Linked DNA regions of Xenopus tropicalis. Each later gene encodes a partner of the first gene's protein in a complex. Links are inferred from orthologs where the notes say so. Each region holds a gene or a part of one and is shown in the gene's direction. Other genes may lie near its edges.

Evidence for each region. The genes of interacting proteins can lie anywhere in the genome.
Region 2: snrpf (region 1) and armc7 share a complex: the UniProt entries of both Homo sapiens proteins name them as parts of the minor spliceosome. The link is inferred for Xenopus tropicalis from reciprocal best matches to the Homo sapiens genes SNRPF and ARMC7.

The regions. Positions count from the first base shown.
Region 1 is NC_030679.2:57,033,879-57,039,604, forward strand, and holds snrpf (small nuclear ribonucleoprotein F), read left to right. Parts: upstream 1-2,070; 5' UTR 2,071-2,198; coding exon 2,199-2,201; intron 2,202-3,070; coding exon 3,071-3,196; intron 3,197-4,191; coding exon 4,192-4,256; intron 4,257-4,878; coding exon 4,879-4,945; 3' UTR 4,946-5,123; downstream 5,124-5,726. Other genes in the region: ccdc38 (coiled-coil domain-containing protein 38), read right to left, coding at 5,529-5,636. UniProt on the Homo sapiens protein: Plays a role in pre-mRNA splicing as a core component of the spliceosomal U1, U2, U4 and U5 small nuclear ribonucleoproteins (snRNPs), the building blocks of the spliceosome.
Region 2 is NC_030686.2:44,365,166-44,371,074, forward strand, and holds armc7 (armadillo repeat-containing protein 7), read left to right. Parts: upstream 1-2,395; 5' UTR 2,396-2,467; coding exon 2,468-2,543; intron 2,544-2,547; exon of another isoform or gene 2,548-2,637; coding exon 2,638-2,802; intron 2,803-4,450; coding exon 4,451-4,803; 3' UTR 4,804-5,405; downstream 5,406-5,909. UniProt on the Homo sapiens protein: As a component of the minor spliceosome, involved in the splicing of U12-type introns in pre-mRNAs.

The DNA.
Region 1 (5,726 bases):
AGGCTAAATATTAGATTCCCTACTGTTTTGCAAATCAACTAACAAAAATTGTTTGTTGTTGTATTCTTATTTTCTGCAGCATTTACCAAGGCACACATTACATTTTTAACTGCTGATTTTTTTGGCACAGTTATGTGCTCCTTTTTTAAAGCAGAGACAAACATAAATGTTCAATACACAAACATATACATCCCCACAGGCTGTGCTACTGTTGTGCCAGGGGACTGAACTCTTCTAGGGGAAGGGTCTGTTTACATTGCTGTGAAAATGTGAACAACTGTGAGTCGGCTACACCCCATCAGGAAAAGCACCAAGATTAAAAATCACGACAGTTATATCAGCACTTCCCTGGGAACAGTTCACAACCCCATACCTCCCAACATTTGAAAAATGAAAAGAGGGACAAATTTTTTTGACCACGCCCACTTTGTGGCCACGCCCCAATTACCACACCCCATTTTTAAAATTCATTTTTAAAATAGTGCCCCCAATGGCCCAATAGACAGCACCCCCATAGACAGTGCCCCCCCATACGCCCCCATAGACCGTGCCCTCATAGAAAGTACCCTCCATACACAATGCCCCCACAGAAAGTGTCCCCAATTGCCCCCATACACATTTCCTCCCATACACAGTAGCCCCCCATACAGTATCCTCCCATACACAGTAGCCCCCCATACACAGTAGCCCCCAATTGCCCCCATGGAGAGTACCCCCAATAGAAAATGTCCCCATACACAGTAGCCCCCAATTGCCCCATAGAGAGTACCCCCAATAGAAAATTGCCCCCATAGAGAGTACCCCCAATTGCTCCCATAGAGAGTACCCCCAATAGAAAACACCCCCCATACACAGTAGCCCCCAATTGCCCCCATAGAGAGTACCTCCAATAGAAAATGCCCCCCATACACAGTGCCCCCCATTGACGCTGCTTCTTGTGGCTCCTGCTCCTTATGCGGCTCCTTCTACGGCGGCGACAGGACCTTTTATAAGGTTGCGCCCCGTGCGTACGTGTGACATCACACGTACGCATGGGCGCAACCTTATAAAAGGGCCTGTCGCCGCCGTACGAGGAGCCGAATAAGAAGCAGGAGCCACAGGACGAGACGGAGCCGGAGTGCTGGCTGCAGTCAGCGCATCCCGCTGGCCTGGATAGTTTAATGAATGTTCTGCATTTCCGTAATGCGGGACATTCATTGAACAATCCGGGACAGCGGGATGCGCTGTAAAAACCGGGACTGTCCTGCGAAAAGCGGGACAGTTGGGGGGTATGCAACCCACTTAGGGTCACAGTGTAATGCAACCCCTCTCTCACTTTTTCTTTCTTTGTAAAAAGCGCACAGATTCTGGTATAAAGGGGGACAGCTTGCATTACATTGGGAGACAAATGTGCTAAAGAGCACAGAGAAAACTATCATGGTTTTCTTTCTACCTGTGGAATCAGGTACTCCTGGGTGATATCACTCCAACTTGCAGCGCAGCAGTAAAGTGTGACTGAAGTTTATCAGTCACATGGCTGTAGCACCCTGGGATATGAAGAATATGGCTAGCCCCATGTGAACTTTTAAAATTAAATATAAAAAAAAACCTGTTGAAGTTCTATTAACCGATGCATTTTGAAAAAAAACCTTTTCTCATGACAGTATTCCTTTACCCATTCTAATTTTACCCTCCAAGTGCCACCAAGTCCTCGGAAAATCAAGGCTTCTAAATCTGGACTGTTGTGCATAATAGTGAATATAATTACATAGCGTTAACAAATAATCAAAACAAGGTACGAAATACAAATAGACGGGACGCAATGTTTGTATTTGTTGTAATTGCAGTCAGCGCAGTATAGCAACTTGCATTTATTAGAAATGCCTAATTGCGGTTCCTGGGGGAAGGCCCTGTAGTACTAGTAGTACTGAGGCGGCCCGGAGTCAGCACAGAGGGTGAGCCTTGTACAATACAACACCATTGTGAAATAATCCCGCCTCCACTGGCGATTGTTGGAGTCATGTTGGAAATCCAACTCCAGCCACTAGAGGGAGCAGTTAGCCATTCAACGCGTGTCGGCTCTCTATGGTCTTTTCTCCTGTCGCTTCCGGGCCTTGGCAGCCATTTCCCGCTTTGCTCCAGCGGTGTGTTCTACGGGACGCTCCGGGGAGGAATTTTTTTTATTGATCTGCAGTTTGTTGTGAGGCTGCGGTCGCACCATGGTAAGTACTGGAGGTGTGCGAGTTCCAGGCCTGGCGGGACAGGGGGTGTCAGTGTGTAGGGATGGGGGGGAGTGCAGGCAGCATGGTGTGTGGGGCTGTTCATTATCCCGAGTAGCAGCTTATCCCGCCGGATTTACAGAATGGGTTATGCAGTTGGTTCGGGTTTGTTTGGTTGCTTTATTGTTAGGCCTGTGTGGAAAGGCGTAACGTGTTATCTTTGCAGCGTGTGTACTCGCTAAGGGCACGTTGCACGGAAAGAGCCTGTATGTAAGGCGCGGTGTAGGCTGCGCTGAAATATAAGTAGCCATGCAGCGTGGGATGGTACTATCTCTACTGGGGATGAGCCGCGAACATGGGATGTTTGCGTCTGTTCTTAAAGCGGTGGCACATGGGAGTTGATAATTTCCTAAAGGCCATGTGTTCCTCTGCCTATCATATCTCAAGTGGTAATGCTACAAATGGCATGTTATACTGTTTGTACTGTGACTGCCCTCAGCCAGCAGTGATGTGCAGCCTTGTGGCCCTCCAGCTATTGAACTGCACTTTCAACTATCAGGAAGAATAAATAAATGCCCCTTTTTCATTTTACTGTGGTAGTGTAATAATATATAGCCTCCTACCAAAGAAAGGATGATTTCTATTAGATATGGATTTGTGGTTGTTGTTGCTGGCCGTGCCCCAAGTATCATTATTAGGCAGGTGTCCCCTTTTGGTTTCTTGGAAGGGAGCATGAGAAAACTGAGGACAAATAAAGGCAGAGATATAGTATTGAAAATGTATGCATATGATTACTTCAGGTTATTGCATGAGTTGACGTTTTAATCACAAGACCTATTGAATATTTATATTATAAATGATTATATTTTCAGAGTTTACCACTGAATCCAAAACCCTTCCTTAATGGCCTCACTGGTAAGCCAGTTATGGTAAAGCTGAAATGGGGGATGGAGTACAAAGGCTACTTGGTATCAGTGGATGGATACATGAACATGCAGGTAAGTAATAGCACTGAACATGTCAGATATTATAGTTGGTTACTTGCTGTTATAAGTTAATTTATTAGATTATTTAATAAAAAAAAATATATATTGTATGCATGTGTATATATAATTTATATTATATTCCCTTTATATTGTGCCAGAATTGTATCTGGGCTTTCCTGTTGCCATTTTAGAGCAGTGTATGAGACATTTGGATTGGATTGCCTCTGTCTCTAGTTAACACTAGGAAATTGCACAAGTAAAATGGTTTTGGGCATCAGCAGCCCATTGCTGGCAATGAAATACATTAAAGGAACAGTAACACCAAAAAATTAAAGTGTAAAAAACTAACTAAAATATAATGTGCTGCTGCCCTGCACTGGTAAAAGTTGTGTGTTTACTTCAGAAAGTCTTCTATAATTTATATAAATAAGCTGCTGTGTAGCCATGGGGGCAGCCATTCAAAGGAGAAAAGGCACAGGCACATAGCAGATAACAGATAAAACACTATTGTACTCTACAGAACTTATCTGTTATCTGCTATGTAACCTGTGCCTTTTCTCCTTTTTTCCAGCTTGAATGGCTGCCCCCGTGGCTACACAGCAGCTTATTATATAAATTATAGTAGTGTTACTGTAGCAAACACACCAATTTTACCAGTGCAGGGCAACAGTGCATTATATTTTCATTACTTTAAAGCTCTTTTATTTTTTGGTGTTACTGTTCCTTTAAGTGCTGCTTAAGGTTGCATGCAATTAGCTGGAGTGCTTGCCAGAGTGTTGTGACACTTTATAGTACCATTGCTAACCCTAGTAGCATTAGCACCAATTAGCCAGCTTAATTGCTTTTAAAACATAAGTAACAATTAATATTAATATTTCTGTATTGCAGAGTTTTTTTTTTTTATAGTAATGATGGTTGAGAAAGTAATGAGTGTCCATTATCCAAGGTTGCTGTGATGTGTGAGAAGCTTTTTCTGTTGGTTAATTCATTTATATATATTATTGCAGCTTGCAAACACAGAAGAATATATTGATGGTGCATTGTCTGGACATCTTGGAGAAGTTTTGATAAGGTAAGAATTGTGCACTGGGGATGCTTTGTAGGTGGTCACATTACAGCATATATGTCTGCTTTTCTGAAATAGAAAGCAAACTCTTGTCAGCATGTTAAGGCAACTGCATGTGCCATATAGATTGTAAGCTCTACGGGGCAGGGACCTCCATCCTCTTGTGTCTTTGACTCTTAACTTATTGCAACTGTAACTGTATCTTGTATGTATTTGTATTTATTGTTATACTTTGTATTTATCTATTATCTTATTAACCCCCTATTTGTATTAATGTATTCTACTGTACAGCGCTGTGTACATAAGTAGCGCTTTATAAATAAAAATATATATACATACATGTGAACCAGTGAAAAATGTAAAGTATATTCTGTAAAAAAAAAAAATGTACTTTTTAAATAGTTTCTTATCTAAACTGTGTAATTTAACAATTATTTAAAAAGGCAACAAATTGTCCTTTTAAATATTCTCTTTAAAGCACAACCTCCAAGGAGGCGTGAGTAGATTGCCCTTTTTTTTCTTGATAACTACCTAGTAGCAAGAATTGTATCCCTTCTCTAGAAAAACAATGTGACTGCTACCTTTTCTCTGCTAAACTGTTTAACTATTGTATTCCTTTTTTATACAGATGCAACAATGTGTTATATATACGTGGGGTAGAAGAGGAGGAGGAAGATGGAGAGATGAGAGAGTAATTGGAATTATTTGGAAAACCCTTTGTATAGTTTCATGAAGAAAAGGATAACTTCATTTATTATGAAGGCATTTTTTACAGCATTTTTCTTTTTTTTTTATAGTTGTTTACACTGCATTCAGTGTTTGTTCTTTGAAATGTACTTTATTGTGTTAGAACAATAAAAGATAATTGCATTGTAATAATGTGGTGTTTGTGTGGCTGTAGTCTAAACACAAGCTAAAATTAATTGGGCAGTGGCAATCTGCTTGAATTTGAAACTTAATTAGCCAAGAGTGCACTTAAAGTAATGGGACTCATGGAAATTTTTATAAACCCTGAGTTATTCCTTAAATAGCCAAACACCAAGAATTAACCTGAATTACCTTTCAGCACTGTACATTTGTTTTAAATGGTTTTACTAAACCATTACCGTTAATTACACCTCTTTTCAATAAGTACAGCAACTTGCTACTTAGTTTATTTGCTGAGACCTTTGCACAGATAATGGTAATAAAGCTTTGCATACAACAGCCCTTTATTTTAGGTACAACAAATGTCAGTAATGAAACCATCCATTATTGTTGGAATAATTGCTAGGTAGCCTATGAGAAGAAATACAGTTGTTCTTCTAGAATTTTTGCATTAGCAACATCACTTCTAATCACTTTACTTGATGGAGGCTCAGAACGCTTCATTAACTTTCTTCCTATCTGTTGAAAGGGGAAAAGTTATTTGCGGTACATATCCAATTGCTGCTTTGTGTGTTATGGTGCTTTCAGCAACAAACCAGGAACTTTCAT
Region 2 (5,909 bases), on another chromosome or scaffold:
ACACAGTGCATATTCTCCGTCAGAGCTCAAATTCATCACTGCCACTTCCCATTGATTTAAATGGAAAAAAAACATAGCAGCATTGAGAACTGGCACTTTTCAACTTGAAATCTGCCAGTTCCAGCTCTGCAGGCCCAGACTGACAATATATTTATTCAGGCAAATGCCTAAAGGGGTCGCTCAGTGCCTGGTAATCTGTCTAGACTGGCTGCCTACCTATCATATCAATCAGTGGTGCCCTGCTGTCTGTTATTTCTCTTCCCCTTCACGTGACTTCCTTTCTGCCTCTCCACTCTCTCTGTGCGGGATGCTAAACCAGAGCAAAACCCCATAGAAAATTTGAATTGGTGGGCGGAGATTGAAAAGAAAACACCTGCGTGATGTCACATGCAATAGTGTATTTGTATACGAGCTATATCCTGGGGCAAGCAGGCCGCTAGTGAAAGTGGGAAATCTGACAGATCAGCAGTGTCTTCTGAGCCCTTGAAGAACTGAAGAAACAGCAGCCAACAATCCTACAGCTCAAGTCACAGGTGACCAGCATCTTAATTATTTCTTTAAGGGAAACTATACCCCCAGAATGAATATGTAACCAACAGACAGTTTATATTATGTTAAGTGGCCTATTAAAGAATCTCCCCAAACTGGAATATATATATCAGTAAATATTGCCCTTTTACAGCCTTTCCCTTGAGCCGCCATTTAGTGATGGGCTGTGTGCCCCCTCAGAGATCAGCTGACAGGAAGTGATGCAGCTCTAACTGTAACAGGAAGTAGTGTGGGAGCAAAAGGCAGAACTCTGTCCATTCATTGGCTGATGGGGCCTAGCATGTATGTGTGCCTTGGCTTGTTTGCAGTGTCGGACTGGGACCCCAGGGGCCCACTAGAAAACCTTAGACCATGGGCCCACTCTCCAAATTAATTTTCCTCCTTTCCTCACTAAAACCACTTTATTCTCCTAGTCTGTTTTATTTACATGCTAGCATCTATTCTTCCATCTATTTCTTCTCTTTGTTCCCATTCAGAAATAGGGAATGACCATGAATAGGCCAAATGGTGAGGAGCAGGAGGGCCCACTGACCCCTGGGCCCACCGGGAGTTTTCCTGGTATCCTGGTGGGCCAGTCCGACTCTGTTTGTGTGCACTGTGAATCCCAGGGGGATAAAAGTGAGTTATAAAATACCCTATATTTAGCATCTGTGCCACTGGTCTTTTTTTTTACTTATTTTTAAATTATTTGCTGCCTTTTTCTGCCTCTCTATGCTTTCAGGCAGTCAGCCAGCCAAAAAACTATTGCTCTGAGAGGCTATTGTTATTCAGTACCATATCTCACGTGGTTGCTAGTTTAAATATGACCCTAGCAACCAGATAGTTGCAGAAATACCAAACTAGAGACGTGTTAACATCCCAATTCCTTATGCACATGATTTATAGCCATTTTACCCCTATATACATGTGTGGCGATATAAAGAGTAGAAGGCCATTGCATATTTATATTTGGGCTGCTTTTTACCCCCAGTCTGGCCCTGCAGCTTGGTGTTTCCATTTAACGTTCAATTTTCAGTGCGGCTTGGGCAGCATGCCACCCTAAGGGCTCTGGCACACGGGGAGATTAGTCGCCCGCGGCAAAACTCCCTGTTCGTGGGCAACTAATCTCCCCGAGTTGCCTTCCCCTGCCATCCCACCGGCGAACATGTAAGTCGCGGGTGGGATGGCACACGCGGCGGCGCGATTTCACGCAAATCGCCGAAGTTGCCTTGCGAGGCTTTTTCAGCGATTTGCGCTAAATCGCGCTGCCGCGTGTGCCATCCCACCGGCCACTTACATTTTCGCCAGTGGGATGGCAGGGGAAGGCAACTCGGGGAGATTAGTTGCCCACGAACAGGGAGTTTTGTCGCGGGTGACTAATCTCCCCGTGTGCCAGAGCCCTTAATCTGTTCCGCCCCGGGCCTGGGCCTTTGTTGCCTGGGTGTCACGTGTTTTCTATTGAAACGAGTGTCTGGAGGGGCGGGGTCAGACGGTATTGCGCCAATACGGCCCGTGGGCCATAGTTGTAAGAATTGTGTGAGCAGCAGATAAGTACCACAGTCTTCATTTTTTTATCCTCTGAGGTTTTTGCCACTTTAGCACTTCTACACTTTCCAATTTCCTGCTACCAAGTTGCCAACCTGAAGAGTGAGTAGGAGAGGGTCTGAAGAGAAAAATACATCATAAATATATAAATCTCAATACAAAAGTATACTCATAGCATGACATTTTGTTTATTTCTATTGTTCCCACCCTCACACTTACCCGGGTAATTCTGCCCCTAACGCTACAGTTCCGCCTCAGCGCTTTGCGCCTCCCTCACGCTTCCCGCCCGGAAGTAGGACGAGAACTGGCACCCGACTTGAGGCTTCTGCCAGTACGGTGACATCACTTCCGCCCACCCGGAAGCGCAGGTACTGCGGGCTGATAGAGAGCGGGGATGGGTGACGGGGAGTCGGAGCGGTTTCAGTACCTGCAGACGTTGGTCACTGAGTTCCAGGACACGGACAGTGTCGGTAAGGGAGAGAGAGGGGGAGATTTAACCCCATTCAGTTTCGTTACGGTTGTAGTTTTGTACCAACTCTCCGCATCATTTCCTCTTCTCATTAGTTTCTCCCCTTAATTGCTCAGAAGCCAAAGAGCAGGTCCTGGCCAATCTGGCCAACTTCGCCTACGATCCCCGGAACTTTTCCGACCTGCGGAAGCTACAGGTGCTGGACCTGTTCCTGGATATGCTGACTGAGGGCAATGAGAACCTGGTGGAGTTTGGCCTGGGTGAGAGAATGTACTGAAGTGCTGAGCCCACAATGTGCCCCCATGTGTGGCAGGAGGGTCACAATATAATGCAATATAATCTCAGCTCCCACCAGCATCCTCCCCCCAGCATCCTCCCACCAGCATCCTCCAGCTCCCCCCAGCATCCTCCTCAGCATCCTCCCACCAGCTCCCCCCAGCATCCTATCCCAGCATCCTCCCACCAGCTCCCCCCCAGCATCCTTCAACTCCCCCCAGCATCTTCCTCAACATCCTCCCACCAGCATCCTCCAGCTCCCCCCAGCGTCCTTGCCAGCATCCTCCAAGCTCAGGGGACACATTGACTTGATGGAGGCCCTGAGTGTAACGCTGGCCCGAAATCACAGGCCTCTCAGCTCCCCCCAGCATCTTCCCACCAGCATCCTCCAGCTCCCCCCAGCATCCTATCCCAGCATCCTCCTCAGCATCCTCCCACCAGCTCCCCTCCAGCATCCTTCCCAGCATCCTCCAGCTCCCCCAGCGTCCTTCCCAGCATCCTGCTCAACATCCTCCCACCAGCTCCCCCCCAGCATCCTTCAGCTCCCCTCAGCATCCTTCAACTCCCCCCAGCATCTTCCTCAACATCCTCCCACCAGCATCCTCCAGCTCCCCCCAGTGTCCTTCCCAGCATCCTCCTCAACATCCTCCCACCAGCTCCCCCCCAGCATTCTTCAACTCCCACCAGCATCTTCCTCAACATCCTCCCACCAGCATCCTCCAGCTCCCCCCAGCGTCCCTACCCAGCATCCTCCCACCAGCTCCCCCCAAGCATCCTCCCACCAGCCCCCCTCCAGCATCCTCCCACCAGCTCCCCCCCAGCATCCTTCTCAGCATCCTCCTAAACATCCTCCCCCCCCCCCCAGCGACCTACAGCGACCAATCAGGAGTCAGCGGACCGGATTAAAAAGGCCAATGGGCCAGACATGGCTTGCAGGCCGTAGTTTGCCCACCCCTGATATAATGACTCCGCCCCAATCTCCAGTTGATGGACAGTATAGTGAAAGTGGCTATAGGTGGGCAGTGGGTAGATGCTTAAATTTTCTGCTTGATGACAGTGGGACGGACCATTGAAAAAAAGCCAGTGTCAGACTGGGGGCCCCTCACTGAGGGTGGAGGGCCGATGTTGCTGGCAGGGATCAGGCCTGGGTTGGTGGGGCCCACTGGGATTTTTCTCATTGTCCCAGTCTGTCCCTGGGAAAAGCCCAATATGCAACCTGGCACTGGAGGGGGGGGTGGCAGAATCAGTAGGTTTTATCAGCCCATCTATGGCCACCGTGTACCACCCCCCCCAACCCCTCGCCTGTCATTGGTCTCTGACAAACACGGCTCTGGTATATTTATCGTTTTCACTACAAACTTCTGTGCGATCCTTTTATACCCAGATAAACATCCTGTGTTGCGAATATAAACATTGGGTGCAGTGAAAGCCCAGTTATCTTGTATTAACCACTTCCAGCAGGACGGAAGGATATTGTAGGTTTGGGCAATATGTTTTTTTCCATCTTTCCTATGGGATCCCCCCCCCCCCTAAAAAACATGTCCTCAATTTCAATTGTGATCAAACCCCCTGTAGGTCATAATGTCTTTGAAATTGTTAGTTTGCCTTTAACCATTCTCTCTTTTCCAATAGGGGGTCTCTGTAATCTCTGCCTGGACAAGACTAACAAGAGTCACATACTAGACTCCGGGGGGCTGAAATTGGTCATCAATTGCCTGTCCAGCCGTCGGGAAGAGACGGTGCTTTCGGCGCTGACCACACTCATGTTCCTGTGCACGGCCGCCTCCCGCACTGAAGTGACGGCTCCTGCTGTGGTGGAGTGCATGGTGCGCTTCTCCCTTTCCACCAACCGCAGGATCAGCAATTTGGCCACCATCTTCCTGCAGGATTACTGCAGCGATAAGCAAGTGCAAGAAGCCAAAGAACTGAGCCAACATTCGGCATTGGGAATCCCGCTCCCTGAATCCACGCAGCACCCCATCTGACTCCCGTGTCGGACATTTGCACCCTACTAGAAACAGATGCAGCATGGCTGTTCTCGGAGTGTGACAAACTCTGTGTTTGAAGTGCTGGTCACTTTCATGATCATGAAACAAGTTTGGGAGACAAGTGCAAGCCTTGCCGGACTGCAGTCCCCTGCAAGATACTGTTCCGTGATTCAGTTATGGACTGACCCCATGGTCCCTCGTGTATTTATTTCTACTGTATTAAAATCATTAAAGAGGAAAAGCACTCGGTGCTGCTATCTACACTGCTATCCACTCTTCGTGAGTGGCCAATGGTTGGCGAGATTGTACAGTTGTGTTTCTTAGCTCTCCCCAGCAAAGCTTCATGGGTTATTCAGGGTCCATGAAAGGGGTGGGGGAACCTTATGGTAGGGGGTGACACTTGGGTGGATCATGGGGAGAGTTTTAATATAATTGCAGTGGATTAGGGATGTGGCTATGCATGTGAGGGGATTCATTTTACCTGTTTACAAGGCCTGGAAGCACAAGAGACTGGTGAGCTAATAATTGAGGGGGCCCTGCTAGCTTTTAAGTATGGGGCCCATGAATACCGATGCTCAAAGAGTCCAATAGCCAAAGATCCAAAACACAACCAAAATCTGGAAGGGCGGTGCACACACATATACCTCATACGTGCAACAACTACTTGATGATAGATACTGGCACCCCAATATTACACATTGTAACTCTACTGAATTTAATGAAAGTGTGAGTATAGGGTCCCCACAAATATCGGAAATGATCAATAAACATCATGTTTGAGCAGAGCAAAGGTCTATATATCACAGAATCCGGCCATAAGTATGACTTCCATAGGGCAGATGGGACCTTTATTCCATAATAATAACTTTAACTTGCCAGTAGGTTACACCCCCCCGGGACAAAAGGTAGGTACAGAGCAGTCCAGTAACAGCTCTTGTAGATAACATAGCTGACTGCTCCATACTCACCATAGGTCCCCATACACGGGCCGATTCTAGCTGCCGATATGGGTCCCTTAGACAGATTCGGCAGCTTATTGGCCCATGTATGGGCACTACCGACGGGCCTGCCCGACCCATATCTGGCCTGAAATCAGCCAGATA